2 linked regions of the Rhinolophus ferrumequinum genome follow. The protein of the gene in region 2 interacts with the protein of the main gene of each other region in a pairwise test. Links are inferred from orthologs where the notes say so. Each region holds a gene or a part of one and is shown on either strand. Other genes may lie near its edges.

Region 1 (7,049 bases), on a different chromosome or scaffold from region 2:
AGAGTCAGACAGCATCTTAGAGATCATCTACAGATGACCTTTTGGTTCTTCTAGTAAAAAAAAAAAGCATTCAAAAATATGCCTAAGATCACAACAGAGGTGGGACTTCTACTCTAATGCCTTGACTTTTAACTTCAGTGTCCTTTTAACCAGAACAAGCTGCAGCAGGCTCTTTAGGCCACTTGAAATCAGAAGCATATACATGAGAACTAAAGAAATTTCCACTTTACCAACTTCTTAGTGTGAAGAACATTATTTTATTTCAAAACCCAAAAGTTTTAAAGAAAGTAAATATTTATTTTCATAGTATAGTAAATATTAACAGGTGAGTTTTGATACTACCCATCATATAAAATTCCAAATTATTGCTACTTTCACCTCAGTATCTTGAGAAGTTGAAATAAGATGATCAAATTTTTGATGTTAAATTATTTTCTTCTACTTAACTACTAACACTGCAGTAAGAATCTAATGTAGTGTGAAAGCTTAAGGTTGAGAATAAAGACATCTGGTTTGGGTTTCTGCCTCAATTTTACAATATTCTTCTAGCTTACTAGTAAGTATCAATCTCTCTGGCGCCATTTCTCATCTCCTGATTAGGAATCATCATACCTATTTATCGTACAAACTTAATACCAGGAATCTTAGCTATATTGTTTCTAATTCTCACATTTTAAAAGATAGGCATGGGCCGGCCAGTGGCTCAGGCGGAGCTGGTTAGAGCTCCGTGCTCCTAACTCCGAAGGCTGCCGGTTCGATTCCCACACAGGCCAGTAGGCTCTCAACCACAAGGTTGCCGGTTCAATTCCTCGAGTCCCACAAGGGATGGTGGGCTCTGCCCCCTGCAACTAAGATTGAACATGGCACCTTGAGCTGAGCTGCCGCTGAGCTCCCTAATGGCTCAGTTGGTTGGAGCGTGTCCTCTCAACCACAAGGTTGCTGGTTCGACTCCCGCAAGGGATGGTGGGCTGTGCCCCCTGCAACTAGCAACGGCAACTGGACCTGGAGCTGAGCTGCGCCCTCCACAACTGAGACTGAAAGAAAAGCTGACCGGCACCCTCCACAACTAAGATTGAAAGGACAACAACCTTGACTTGGAAAAAAGTCCTGGAAGTACACACTGTTCCCCAATAAAGTCCTGTTCCCCTTCCCCAATTAAAAAAAAAAAAAAAAATCTTAAAAAAAAAATAAAAGATAGGCATTATTTACGTATTTTACAGGTAAGAAAACTGAGGCTCAGAGAGATTAAGTTTTCCAAGAAACTGAGCTAGTTAGTGGCAAAGCTGGAATTTAAACCTAGCTCTGCGTGACCCCAACCTAGAGCCCACGGTACTTGCAATACATCACTTTACTCATATGTGAGATCCTAGTGTGGCTGGGAGAACAAGTACTACATTTGAAGAACTATTAGGGAGACACAAAAGATAAAGCAAATAAAAATACATGCTGAAAAAACATACTGTGACACTTTCTCTAGTTATTACACTGAAAACTAATTTTTAGTAAAAGATTTAAAAGCAATGATATTAGTGTTATTAACACAGAAGTGAGCACTGTAAAAAATTAAAAAATATATATTTTACTTTGAAAAGTAACACTGTAAGTTAAACTGGAAACAGGTATCTTTACACCTATACCTGTAGTCAAAATAAACTTACTCTGAAAGCCCCATTAAATCACATGCAGACGCTTAAAAGGACTTAATAGGACTAGAGGGAAAAATGATGTACTCTGAGAAAACAGAAGAAATCAAGAGACCTTGGTACCAGTTACTGCCCTTTCAAACAGATAAAAATACCCTCAGATATTCAGAAAAAGAGCAGATCTTTATCGTGTCTTCTATCAGTAAACTGTTCTGTAAACAATGTACAACTTATTCTCTCCGTGTGGTCACTGACTTTTTTTAAAAAAAGTTTAAAATCTAGGGGGAAAAAGAAATCGAGGGTGAATGCAGGGCATGGTTATTAATAAACACAGCCTAAAAGCAAAACCGGAATAGAAGATTCAAGTTACCTTTTTACCTATATCATACCCTACAACTAAAAACATCAATTAACTCAAAATAAAAGGTAACTGTGCAAACTTCGGTCATTTGTCCTAACATGTGACCTGGTAAGATACGACAACTTCTTTAGATAAAAATCACCAATACTTCTACGACTCTCGGTCCTTTCCCCAACAATGGCCAAGGTGTTAATCTGCGTTCTAGGAAGTCCCAACACAGATAATGACACTGACCACGTCCCTTCTCCCGCAGTAATATCTAGATATAACTTCTTTTTTTTCCACCTCCTTTTCTCTCTTCTCTCTCTCTCTTAACCTCCGTTGGAGGTAAAAATCTCCAGAGCCACACAAACCGCCTATTAAGGGGCGTTCTTTATCTGACCCACCCTCTGTATTAAACATTCATTTCGTCTCTAACCATGTAAATCGCGAGAGGAAGCTCGGACAAAACTGCAAATTCAGAAAGCCCGCAGAAAGAAGACACTGAGGAAGAGAGAAAGCGTGAGGGAGGTGAAGCCCGGAGGTCAACCTCCAGAGAGCTGAGGAAGAAGTGGGCAGGCCAGGACCCAGCGCCCAAGCGGCGCCAATTGCCACCGCCGCTCCCTCCCCTCACCTCGATCTCGCGGATGTTGTTTGAGGTGACGAAGATGCCAATGCCAATGGGGATGAATATGAGGCCGATGATGAAGAAGGTAGGTAGCACCGTGCCAGCCGTCAGGATGGGCTGCCAAGCCGGCAACCTTTGCTGTTTGAAGGCCGTATTATCCGGCCTCCGGTTCTTAGCGGTGCCCCCAGGAGCACACGCGGGCCCACCATCTACTTCATCCTTCGCGTTATAGTTCATCGCCATTGCCCCCCGGGCGCGGCTCCGCGACGCGCGCAAGTGGACCGCCCAGGGGACCCGTCTGCTGACCCTGAAAGAAGACGCGCAGGCGTCGCTGCCGCCGCCACCTCTAAAGTAAAGGCGGAAGAGGCGGGACACCCTTCCGCAGACGGGCGCTGACCGGAAGTTGGAGTCGGCTGGGGACGCCCCAGGGAGGGGGAGGAGGGAGGAAACTGAGGGACACGGGGAGGGACATAAGAGGGAGGGAAAAGGCGGACGCACGAGGGTCATCTGCCCTGTGACGACAAAGGGTCAAACCCCGGAGCGTGAAGCTACGACAGCGCATGCGCAGGCTTTGAGGGCGAAAAGGGCGGGGCGCCTGCGCGGCAGGCGCGTCTGCGCTCCACTTGCCTAAAGTTCTGTTAGCTCACACCTGTCTGCGGCTCCGGTTATCCTGGTGACGGCCGATCTGAGGCTCAGGTCTGATCCGCCCGGCCCGGACTACCCTAGTTAGCCCTGGAGCTGCTGACAAAGATGTCTTTCTAGTGGCTTCGGCGCCAGACAGGTTTTTGTTTTACCGCGTAGCCCTCTCTGAAGGGAATCGTAGTATTTAAAAGACCACACCAAAGTTGCTTGAACCTGGTATGATTGTAGTATTTCCTTGGGTTATAAAACCGCGAGTTTCTCTAATTAAAGTAAATCGTCATTCAAGGTACAAATACAAACATTAAGTGAGATGCGTGATGGGTGACCCTTTGGTCCCAAAGTAAAAATAAATACGTGACTTGCCCAAAGTAAACATAAATACGTGACTTGGTTAACCCTATTATTTTGACGCTACTTGAGCTATTATCACTTGTCTATGTTCCATTAATGGTCTTCATGTTACATTTTACCTTCTTTTCTGTGTCGTTTCTTTTTTGTGCAGATATAAGAAGTCTTGTAATTAGCTGTAGCTCTTTATTTTACAGATTACAAGAAAAAAGCTTCACATTATGGCATTACTATAAAATGAGATACTATGCAGACACTTTAAAACTGCCAAGTATTTAATGACCGAAGGAAATATTCATGATATAAAAAGTAAGTAAATCTTGATACCAAGGTAGTATTGGTATATAGTATCAAGCCTACCTAAGAAGTAAATAGTGGTAATCTCCATTGACCAGATGGAGAATGTTTTTTCTCTACTTCTTTGCACTTTTTCTGCATTTTCCAAAGTTTCTACAATAAGCATATATTTGTAAAAAAAATTGTTTTGATTATGTACAATCCACATTATATTGGCATCTTTGAAATCCAGACCAGAGAGTAAGTCACATCATCTGAAAACAAATACCCAAAGTTTATTTTCTTTTTCATAAGATTTTATTGGGGAAGGGGAACAGGACTTTATTGGGGAACAGTGTGTACTTCCAGGACTTTTTTCCAAGTCAAGTTGTTGTCCTTTCAATCTTAGTTGTGGAGGGTGTCATTCAGCTTCAAGTTGTTGTCCTTTCAGTCTTAGTTGTGGAGGGCACAGCTCAGCTCCAGTTGCCCTTACTAGTTGCAGGGGGCACAACCCACCATCCCTTGCCGGAGTCGAACTGGCAACCTTATGGTTGAGAGGATGCGCTCCAACCAACTGAGCCACCGGGGAGCTCAGGGGAGCTCACCTCAAAGTGCGGTGTTCAATCTTAGTTGCAGAGGGCAGAGCCCAAGATCCCTTGCGGGACTCAAGGAATTGAACTGGCAACCTTGTGGTTGAGAGCCCGCTGGCCCATGTGGGAATTGAACCGGCAGCCTTCAGAGTTAGGAGCATGAAGCTCTAACCGCCTGAGCCACCGGGCTGGCCCCGAGTTTATTTTCTTTTAGGCTTTGTCGGAAGTCATACCTTTTGGAAGTAATCCAAGAAAAGGGAAACGAAAAGAGTGCTTGGGCCTTGTAATTTACAATTAAATGTATTTTCAAAATGACTACAAGTCTCAAGATGTGAGCCAATCGAATATTAATCTGGTAGATAACTAACTTGCTTGGTTTTGTTCTTACATGACATCCTTATCTCTCAAATTCTTAGTACTGGTAATATAAGTAGGTCTATATTTTGTTTTGAGCCATGTAAGTTTATTTTTAAATGGAAAATATTCTATGTTAGGAATTATATTTCAAATGGAAAGTTATATCTATGTAAGAATATTTTCAAATGGAAAATATTCATCTATCACAGTTAATGGAGAAGGTATGGGCTTCTTTTATTTTGCTAAATTCTATTGGTTAGTAAAAATGTATATAACAGTATTGGGCATAATGCAAAAGTATAAAGATTGAGGCAAGTTTTATCTCCCCATTTCTGCCTGTATCATCAAACCCACTAAATGTGATAGTTCCTTAAGTGATTTGCTATTCCAACATTCTATGTAAGTATGGAGTTATTTTGCCTTCCAGTTGTTTTTTTTTTTTTTTAACTGATCTAAGTGATTGTGATATATTTATCTGCTTTCTTTTTCTTTTTGTTCATAGGAAAGATTAACTTCTTGTTTCTTTTTTCTTAGTAGGAATTCCATTTTGACTGAAACATAGACTTTCCGAACAAGCTTGAATCTAAAGCTTTCTTAGATTCTTATCTAAAACTTAATTTTCAGATGAGAGCCAAATGGATGAAATGACGTTTCAAAATCTCTTGATGTCCTTCCAATTCCTTTCCCTCTACTGTACTCTGCCATCACAACATGCTGCTTTACCCAGTAACATTTTTTTCACATCCACATCATTAGCTTGAGGACTCAGAATTTTATGATTTCATTGGTCATACATTGTTTTATGATAGTTCTTAGGTATTTTTTCATTTAATCTTATGAAGTAGGAATTTTAAAAGGGAAATGTTCAGTATTTCTGGGGCAACAAAAGAGAGTGGTTGTTCTCACAATGGATTTCCACCATATGCATTTTTAAACTGTGGTTGCTAGGAGTGACATGTGCTCACGCGTGTGCTGATGACACATTTAGATAACATTTGTATTGTTTAAATGATTCTTCATTCACTGATTCCTGTTTTTAAAAAAATGTGCTTAATTACATTGATTAATGCTGACTACCAGGTCAATATAGTAAGTGTGCAATGAATGCCTGAGCCTAATAGGGTTTCCAAGCGGGAATTCTCACCCGTTCTCAGGAATTTTTTTCACTTTCCTGTTCGCGAATCCCGAGAAAAGTTGGTTGGGAAATTGGGAAAATCGGCTCCTTGAACCCAGGTGGTTGGTAATATCAGCCGTCACTTTCTGGAAATGATTCATCGTGGAGAACAGAAAACAGTTTATATCTCGGGATTCTGGAATGGGAAAGCAAAAAAAAAAATCCTGAGAACAGGCGGGAATTCCCACCTGGAAACCCTACTAAATATGAAAGTAAATCCAAAATAATAGGCAGATACAAACCCAACAATCTGAAAAGATGTAGATAAATAACTTTAGAGGAGAAGTTTCATAACAAATTTTAATTTTTTTAGTTCAGTTGCTGTTTTCAAGCTATTGAACGAGGTAACCAGAAACATTGGGGGGAAAAATGAATAACTGAGTAACTTAAGGAATTAAGAAGAGGAAACTGAAACTGCTCTTTTTACTGTTTGGCCAACATGGCACATAGATTTGCTTATTAGACTCCTTTGAGTATTTGGTGCTGCTTTAGCTCTCTAGCTTCTAACCATATTCAAACCATTTCATTTATATGTGTAGTTTAATAATGTTTAGAAAATTGAAGAGAGCTGAGAAATGTGCCATAGTTTTTACCAGCATGAATTTCAGAGAAAATTCTTAGGGACTGGAAATGGTTTGAATTGTTTTCAGTGACTGGGTAATATTTTGCTTGTTTCTTTCTAGACGGGAAAAAAAAAATTCTATTTAGTTGATCGTGGCAGCTTACTTAGAGAAGTTTGAGGGGATTAAATAATATTCATTTTTAATTGAGGCGATATTTAAGAAAAGAGTGACATAGAATTTGTATAATAAATTTATTTTCTTGTACTTATTACATCAGAGATTAATTCAAACTGATTTTGAAAAATTCTTTTAAAGTTGACCTTTTCCTGATTTTCATGTATACGTATTTATTAAACTTTTACTTAGGCACTTAAGAAAATCCTTTTGTTCTGACATTGAGAGAGTGATAAGCCTGAGATCATTGGTGTTGTGATGAAATATTTTGCAACTTTATGAATGACCACAGTCAGTAATCAGAAATGCAAGTC
Region 2 (7,872 bases):
CCAGATTATCCAGCATAATCGCTCCTATTTGAAACCCATTGATTTTGGACTCTAATCACACCTACAAAATACCTTCTCAGCAACACCTAGATTTGTGCACGATTGAACAACTGGGGACTGGAGCCTAGCCAAGTTGGCACATAAAAACTACCCATCACAGTCCCCAAACTCTTTCACAGGATCTACAAATCCTCCTTTTTCCAACTATGCATGAAAACTGGATTTTTCTTCATAAATTTCAAACAGAACAATGGTACAACAGAGAGAGTAAATATGAGAAACCAGCTGTCTTCTACTAATCCAAATACTGAAGAGCTTTAGAAAAATTCTCACTGATTTTTTCTTTTGAAAAATATAGTTATTTTTCATAAAAATATGTGACATATGAACATGTAATGAATATATTCTTTTTAAAGAAATGAATAATTACTTTAAAATATTCTAGTTCTAAGTCTCTAATACAGTACGTATAGGTGGATAGAACACACATAAACATAAATTCATTAGGATCCTAAATAATTGTCAAAAGTGTAAAGGAACCCTGATTCCAAAAGGATCAAGAATCACTATTCTACACAAGTGTAATGATTATTTAACCTGACCTTTATCAATATAAGAAACACCTCAATAGCTATCTTTATTAGGCCTAAATCATTGTAAACGTCTTCCGTTGCACAGCATAAAGTATAAACTTGGCCTTACTTTATGAATATCAAAGCTACCTAATCTGTTCCTCCTCATGCGCTCGCTGATTTAAAAAAAATTGTTATGCAAAGAATTGTAAGCTCCTTTTGTAACCTCCTAATGACTTGACCGGCGCTATAAAATACCTATTTGAATTTTGTCTATACGTACTTTCAACATCAGTATTCAGTATTTTATTCTGAAACTTATTTTCTGCAGATCTCAGTAAATTATCCCTGCCAAGTTTCCTTACATCATGGTCAAAATATTTCTGCCAGGGATATTTTTATTCATGTTTTATATATCAGAAGTTAGTAAACTAAAAAAAAGGTGGGTAGGAAGGGAATTGTGGTGACTTTATATCCCAGTTCATAGTCGTTGAATTATTCTTCCCTATTTAGTCACCTTTTGGTTAACCAGAAAAATTGGAGGAAAGAAAGTGATGGAAAAGTCAAAACTACGATGGAAACAAAAATGGCCAAAAGATGGTACAGCATTGATTTGATGAAAATTAATCTAGGCAAGACTACATATCATATTACAAAACACATTATCATTACACAGTGTCACCCTAAAGAGTATAGTCAAAGGAGTATAAGTATAATCTAAGACCCAAGTTGCAAACTGAGATTGCTGCAGCTATCAGGCAGGTAATGTAACCTGCTGAAACAGTCCGGATGGGGAGTGGAGAGACTGGTGCCCTATCCAAAGTGAGTGGCCATTATTCAGCAGAAGCCAACTCTTGACTTGTAGGAATGTGTACCTGTGGTTGTCAGTTCTTTGGCTTGTTCCACAAAAAAAGATTATTATGAGAAGTATCCCAATGTTTAATGCTGCCAACTAATGTAAAATTTAAGTCTGGGCAGGCCAAACAAAACATTTCGGCAGATTATCACCTCTGTGCAACATCTGGTTTAGGGACACTACACATCGCATAGATTACTTGATGACAAAGGTTATCATCCACTGAGGTATTCTCTGGTTGCTATTTTTCAACTGAGCCTGTCCCTGCCCTTTCAATACCATGTAGTAGAAAGGTTCCTCATCATTATTTTGTTTTCAAAAATTACTTCAGAAATCAAATTAATTAGTGGAGGCCCAGACTAAGACTTCACACTCCCTCAAATTGCCCATCTTCAAAAGTTTGCTCAACCTTTATGTGAAGAAAGAGCCAAGCTGAGGTTGGGGAAGGGTAGACAAAACTCACCAAACTCACCTTGTTTACTCCATGAATTAGTCCTACAATTATCCTAACTCATCACCTTGGAAGTTCAGGAAACATCTAAGGCAAGGTTTCTCAACCTTAGCACTATTGACATTTGGGTCAGATAATTCTTAGTGGTGAGAGGATGTCCTGTGCCATGCAGGATGTTTAGCAGCATCCTGGGACTCTACCCACTAGAAGCCAGTAGCACCCCCAACCCAGTCTGACAATCAAAGATATCTCCAGATATTGCCGAAAGCACCAGTGTGTGTGTGTGTGTGTGTGTGTGTGTGTGTGTGTGTGTGTGTGTGTTGGGGATGGGGTGGGGGGGAGCTCATCCCTTGTCGAGAACCACTGATCTAGGAGTACTCATGCATACCCCTTGGGGGGTCTCTCACCTCTTCTGGAGCTGCTTACACTGTTTTCTTCCTAAGAAAAGTGTGATAAATGAAATGTATTCCATCATCTTTCCAGAGATGTTTGGTGCCCTGGGCAACTGTCCATCCCTTGCCTCAGTCCTGAAAGAGCTAGTTTTATGGCTAATCTCTCATGTTACCAACCCCTCGTGTTTTTATTTGTTCAACACTTCTTCCAACTCTTGCTCATCAATCTTATGCCAGTATTTGCATCTGGTTAACCAGCTAAAGGGCTTCAAGTTACTTTCCACTGCAAGTACTTAAGACAATATTTTGCCTGTTTAGTGAAGATTCATCTAGACACTTACCTTTCTCATGACTAAAATTAAGACAAATAAGCATTGACTTATCAAAATCACCATAAGAATATTTTCCCCCACAACCTCTTCTGTTATATTTCAGTTTGTTTGAAGAATTTTATGACCCTGTATTTTTTCTTTTTATGGGAATAATTATGTCAATCTGTTAAGGTTATAGGAGAATTAAACGAGTCAGATTATGTGGAGTGCTTAACAGTGCTTGGCATGAAGTAAGTGTTCAATAATAGTTATAACAATTACCACTAGGAATATTTACACAGCTTATCATAAATAATTGGTCTTAAGCTTATATAGTTCATCCTGGTAGTATGGTGCTGGTGGTAGGAGATGGGGGCAAAAGCTTTGCCAACAAGTTCTTCTTTAATTGGCAGGTTTGGGCAGCAAGAATATTAAAGGCCAAACCTGACAAACTGTCTGAAAGTCATATATGAAAAACGTGATGCAGTCAATGAGAAATAGAAATGCATATAAAATGCTCAGTTCACTTAAGTATAAGAAAGTTGACTGCTGGAAAAGGGAATTACGTAAATTTCTGTGACGTACGGTCTTCTAACATGATTTATTAGGGAATTCCAGCAGTCAGACAAAAGAAATATGACCTCTCTAACAAAAACTGAACATAGTATTTCTTATCTATTATTTGCTGTTAGGGTTTGAATTAGCCAGAGAGTGGCATTAAATCCAACTTCATGATACACATAACTTGCCACGTGCCTGTTAGTATTTAACGTGTCTAAGCAGCTTGGAAAATGGACCTATGCTTTGATAACTCCATATCCATTGGTCAGCATGGCAGCCCAAGAGATATTCTAGACCCTCTTGTCCCTAAATTGGGTGTGCCTCTCTCTTTGTTGCGGAAGCGGTGAGGGAAAGAGCACTGGCCTTAGCAGTGAAGAAATGTGGTTTGTGGTCCCATCTCTGCTACCAACTTCCTGTGTGGACTTAATGTAGCCATTAACTTTTTTGAGCTTCAGTGTCCTCAGCCATGGCACCAGGAAGCTGTGCTAAACGACCTCTACCTTCGGGCACTACCATTCTCTGGTTGACCAAATCTGTGAGTCTAGGTCATGCGTGTGCCAAGAAAGCATGAGACTCTGAGAAAAGGGAGGAAATGGAACAAGCACTTGCACAGCACTCTTCTCTTTAGCAAATGGAGAAACGTGAAATGCCGAGTCCCTTTTTAAAAAAATCCCAGACAGGCCTAAGTGTTAGGCAAACTTCATGTTCTTAAAAATTCCTAGCTCCTGTCTTACAGTTACAGATTTAAGGTGTGGGTGTTTCATCTTTTCTAAAATATGTTCTATGTCTATGTTTCTTCTTAGCAATCTAACAGGATTCAACAGTACTCGTAAGGTCACAATTACCCAAGCAACCAACCAAGATCCTATGGAAAGATTTTCATGCATTTAGGTATTATATTCATTTCTTTTTACCTCATTTTATTCCCAAGTTTGGTAATATCCCCCTTTTGTTACCCTCAAAATAGCTTGTTCCTTGTTCTATCTTCTCTTTTATTTACGGACCCACCAATAATTATCCATCAATAGGACAACTGGCTCATGACATTTTCCTCAATTAACGGAGTTGTAGGCAACTCAGTAAAAGATTATACATGAAAATTTCCTTTTAGGGTGAGAATTAAAGCTCTCAAAATAAGCCCATAAATCATTCCGATTTTCTGTCAGTTTGAAGCATGCCCATAATCTGTACATATAATACATTGGTCCCATTTTCCTTATTTTGTATAATCGAAGAGTAATCAGTAAGGGCTATGACTACTGCAAAATGAGACTTCTAAATCGTGGCGGGCTAATTCCTCACCAGCATGCCTACGAAAGTCACTGCCGACAGTCTGTTCTTTCTTTCTTAAGTGCCCTTGCAATCCAACAACTGAATTGTATTCCAGGCCCCCAAGGAGACCTACAAGGTTATAATTGTCTCACACTTAATTGCATGGATGGCCAAAGGCGAATGGACAAAGTCATTTTTGTACCATGTGTAGAGAAGAAAATCACTTATGAATTTTGATATCGCCAGCTCATTGAGTCACAGAAAGTAGAAATTTCTGCAAGAACCCTGTCTAACAGTTATCATGCTGTGTACACACACAGCCAAGCCGAGAACACTGCCTTCACTGTCTGGGACTGGGGCTCACACTCACAGTCATGCTATTCTTCTCTTTCTCTCGTAGCCCAAATGAGGCGGCTTATTTTTCCCTTTTCCTTTCCTGGTCGCAGTTATTTCTTTCCAAGCCATCTTCTTCTCTGAGTTTCCAAGGGAGTGTTAGCTTAAGGCCTTGCCTTGACACCATCAGATATAATCAGAGAAATGAAAAATGCCATGGGAAAGAGAAATGATATCTTAGCCACACTGTACAAGAGAAATAGTGCCACTTCCAAGCCCTGTTTCCCGTAGCTTCTAATGGAGCCAGCTCAGGAGGGACGTCAGCTTTGCTGGGGTAAGTAAAAGTCACCTAGCCCCCGCCATATAATGGGGACGGGATCATCTCCAATGGTCACTGTTTTAATCAGGCCCAGGATATAACTACTTTTCTTTATACCACATTTGAAATTTCATTTGGCTTGCTGGGCGTGAGATCCACATTCCCTTTGCAGCAGAATGTTGTTGTCTTCTTTCATTTGATTTCATTAGGATAAGCTGATGACAAATGCTACTTCCCTATGCAATAGAGCTTACAGCCCAAATGTACCTGAATACGTTTTATGACAAATAATATATCCCACATCCATCCAATGTAGCCTGAGGGAGCAGGTGGAGTTAGTAACTTGTTCTCAAAGCAGAAAGAAACTCGAGCTTTGAGGAAGAGCGTGAGATCACGATACGGCTTCCCAATTTCACCTCTAAACTGAAGCTGGCACATTGTAGTAGTTGTCAACTGTTGGTGGGATGCTTGGTTTTCCTTTGAGTTCGACAGAGAAAACTGATGTTTAAACAAAAATATGTTTACTCCCCGTGTATCAACTACTCGCTCCAGAAAAAGCCCTATTCATGCAGATAGGTCCCTACTGAGCACCTTTATTACCATCCTACTGTGGCACGTTGTTAAAGCTGGGGCAAAACACCTCCAACCACAAGGTGAAAAGTTATTATTTTTTTTTTTTAATCCCTGAGCAGCTAGTTGTTTACCCTGCAAGAGTTCATGTACCTGGTAGAACTCATTTGCCCTTGGAATTTGCTGTATAATTTTGGTTCAGGTAACGAGAGGGGAATTAGAAATTCTGGGGAGGGACTTGACCTCCCATAGTCGGTCTGGCACCCTGCTCCTTTCTTATTCTACCGTCCTTTCTCTGTTTCCAGTTCTTGCAAGCGTACAGTCAAGAGTGCTAGGAGTGTTATTCCATTAACAGATGCACTGTTCCATGAGACCATTAATCAGGCAAATCACAGATGTTGTTTTCCTTTGAGATATTACTATAATTACTCCTAATAACACCTACTGAATTACTCATTTCATTGTCATTGATGACTTTTTAAAAATATATCAGATCATTTATTTCTTAAATTCTATCTATATGGATTTAAGTCGTTTGTGTGCCTCGGAGGGTTCAGAATCTGTTTTCCAGTTGTCCCCACGTATTCCCCAAAGAATGTAGCAGGGTAACCTCACATATGGATAGAGGAAAAGGCTCTTGAAAGACTCAAGGTTGAAACCCACATGCTGAGTTTGCAATCAAACGATATTCTCCTTATGCTAAAAGATGGGAGTTACTGTTTTGAGGCATATGGTGCTAATAAATCCATTTGAAGGAATCCGCTGTCCTCAAAGGCAGTGCTTGGAAGGGAGCTTAGTGTAGCTGCCTGATGCACAGAGGGTGAAACTGGGACCCAGAGAAATGAAGTATGAGTTCCTGAGAAAACAACGACCAGAATCCAAGGCTCATGGCTATCATTCCAGGGTTGGTTCTTCTATTACACTCATTCTCCAAATGGCCCGTGCCATATCAACAGGGAATCAAAATCCCCTTGACTCAAGAGTAAACTAAAACAGGTTGGATTTCTGAGACTAGTTCTGTTCACTTTCCCACTCTCCTAAAAATAAAAATTTGGCCAGACCTTCTTAAATCCTGGTTTAAACCCAGGGAGCTCTGTCTTCATTGCTGATTAAATATCACTAATTTCTTCTGTTTCAGTGACGTTGTTTTGTAATTTTTTTTAACAATTAAAGCATCTGGAGCCCTTTTTCCTCATCTTTTAATTCTCTGTGAAATATGTGTTTATTAAGAGATTGAGTAAGGAGGTAGTAACAATAGCAGCAGTGTGGCTTCATCGAAAAAAAAAGACATTGGGATTGAACTTGAATTTGAATCCCTGTTTTACTTCTTAGTAATTGTGTAACATTAGACAAGTTGCTTAGCTTCTCAGATCCTCACATTGAAAACATGTGTGTCATCACCTAGTACAATGCAATGACTGCCTTACAGAAGCCTTAATAATTATTTGCTATTACTATTAATTGGGTGGAACCAGATGGGAGAGAATGTTAACTGTCATGGCATTTTTTAAAATATTCTATAATGTCTTAATGTCTAGAGGGAAAAAAGAGAGTCTCATTTTCTGCTTTTGGTATGACTGATCACTGGCGACTGCTGCCAAGGCAGGACACCTTGCAGGTAGTTAGCAACCTGCAAACAAACTGTGATATTTTGGGAGGAGGTACTTATATCTCTCTAGCCGAGGTTGTTGCATCAACCTTGGTGTGGTGTCGTATTAATTTGAACTCACCAGGTTCAACCAGAAACAACGCAGGAACACAAAAGAATACGTTGAGTGTTTCTTTACCTCATTTGCCTGATTAAATAAAAATCCATGGTCCCTGCAATCACTAGCAAGCCTGATGGTGAAGTTTTCATACACATGACACCATATGTTCTCTACCTTCTCCTCCCCCAGCACCACCCAGAGCGGCAGCTCTCGAAATGTGGTTCCTGGGCCAGCCACATCAGCATTACTCAGGAACTTGTCAGAACTGCAAATTCTAGGGCCCCACTCCCAACACGCTGAGGCAGGAACGCAGGAAGACCTAAAAATATGTTTTTCACAAACCTCCAGATGGTTCTGATGCTTACCGGAGTTAGAGAACCATGAGCTGGAGAGTCCGCCTAGATGTTTTATGTACTGCAATGTTACTCCTCAGGGTAAGTGGCAGGACAGTGCTCAAAATGATCTGAGCATAGGATAAGACCACGTAGGTGACACTGATGTGGCATCAAATAGCTGAATCACACAG

Evidence for each region. The genes of interacting proteins can lie anywhere in the genome.
Region 1: the proteins of ATP10B (region 2) and TMEM30A interact in a protein complementation assay, tested with the Homo sapiens proteins (2 studies listed by IntAct, with this or other methods). The link is inferred for Rhinolophus ferrumequinum from reciprocal best matches to the Homo sapiens genes ATP10B and TMEM30A.

Annotation. Positions count from the first base shown.
Region 1 is NC_046286.1:36,111,437-36,118,485, forward strand, and holds the start of TMEM30A (cell cycle control protein 50A), read right to left. Parts: upstream 3,017-7,049; 5' UTR 2,855-3,016; coding exon 2,618-2,854; intron 1-2,617. UniProt on the Homo sapiens protein: Accessory component of a P4-ATPase flippase complex which catalyzes the hydrolysis of ATP coupled to the transport of aminophospholipids from the outer to the inner leaflet of various membranes and ensures the maintenance of asymmetric distribution of phospholipids.
Region 2 is NC_046307.1:30,055,300-30,063,171, reverse strand, and holds the start of ATP10B (phospholipid-transporting ATPase VB), read left to right. Parts: upstream 1-4,866; 5' UTR 4,867-5,082; intron 5,083-7,872. UniProt on the Homo sapiens protein: Catalytic component of a P4-ATPase flippase complex, which catalyzes the hydrolysis of ATP coupled to the transport of glucosylceramide (GlcCer) from the outer to the inner leaflet of lysosome membranes.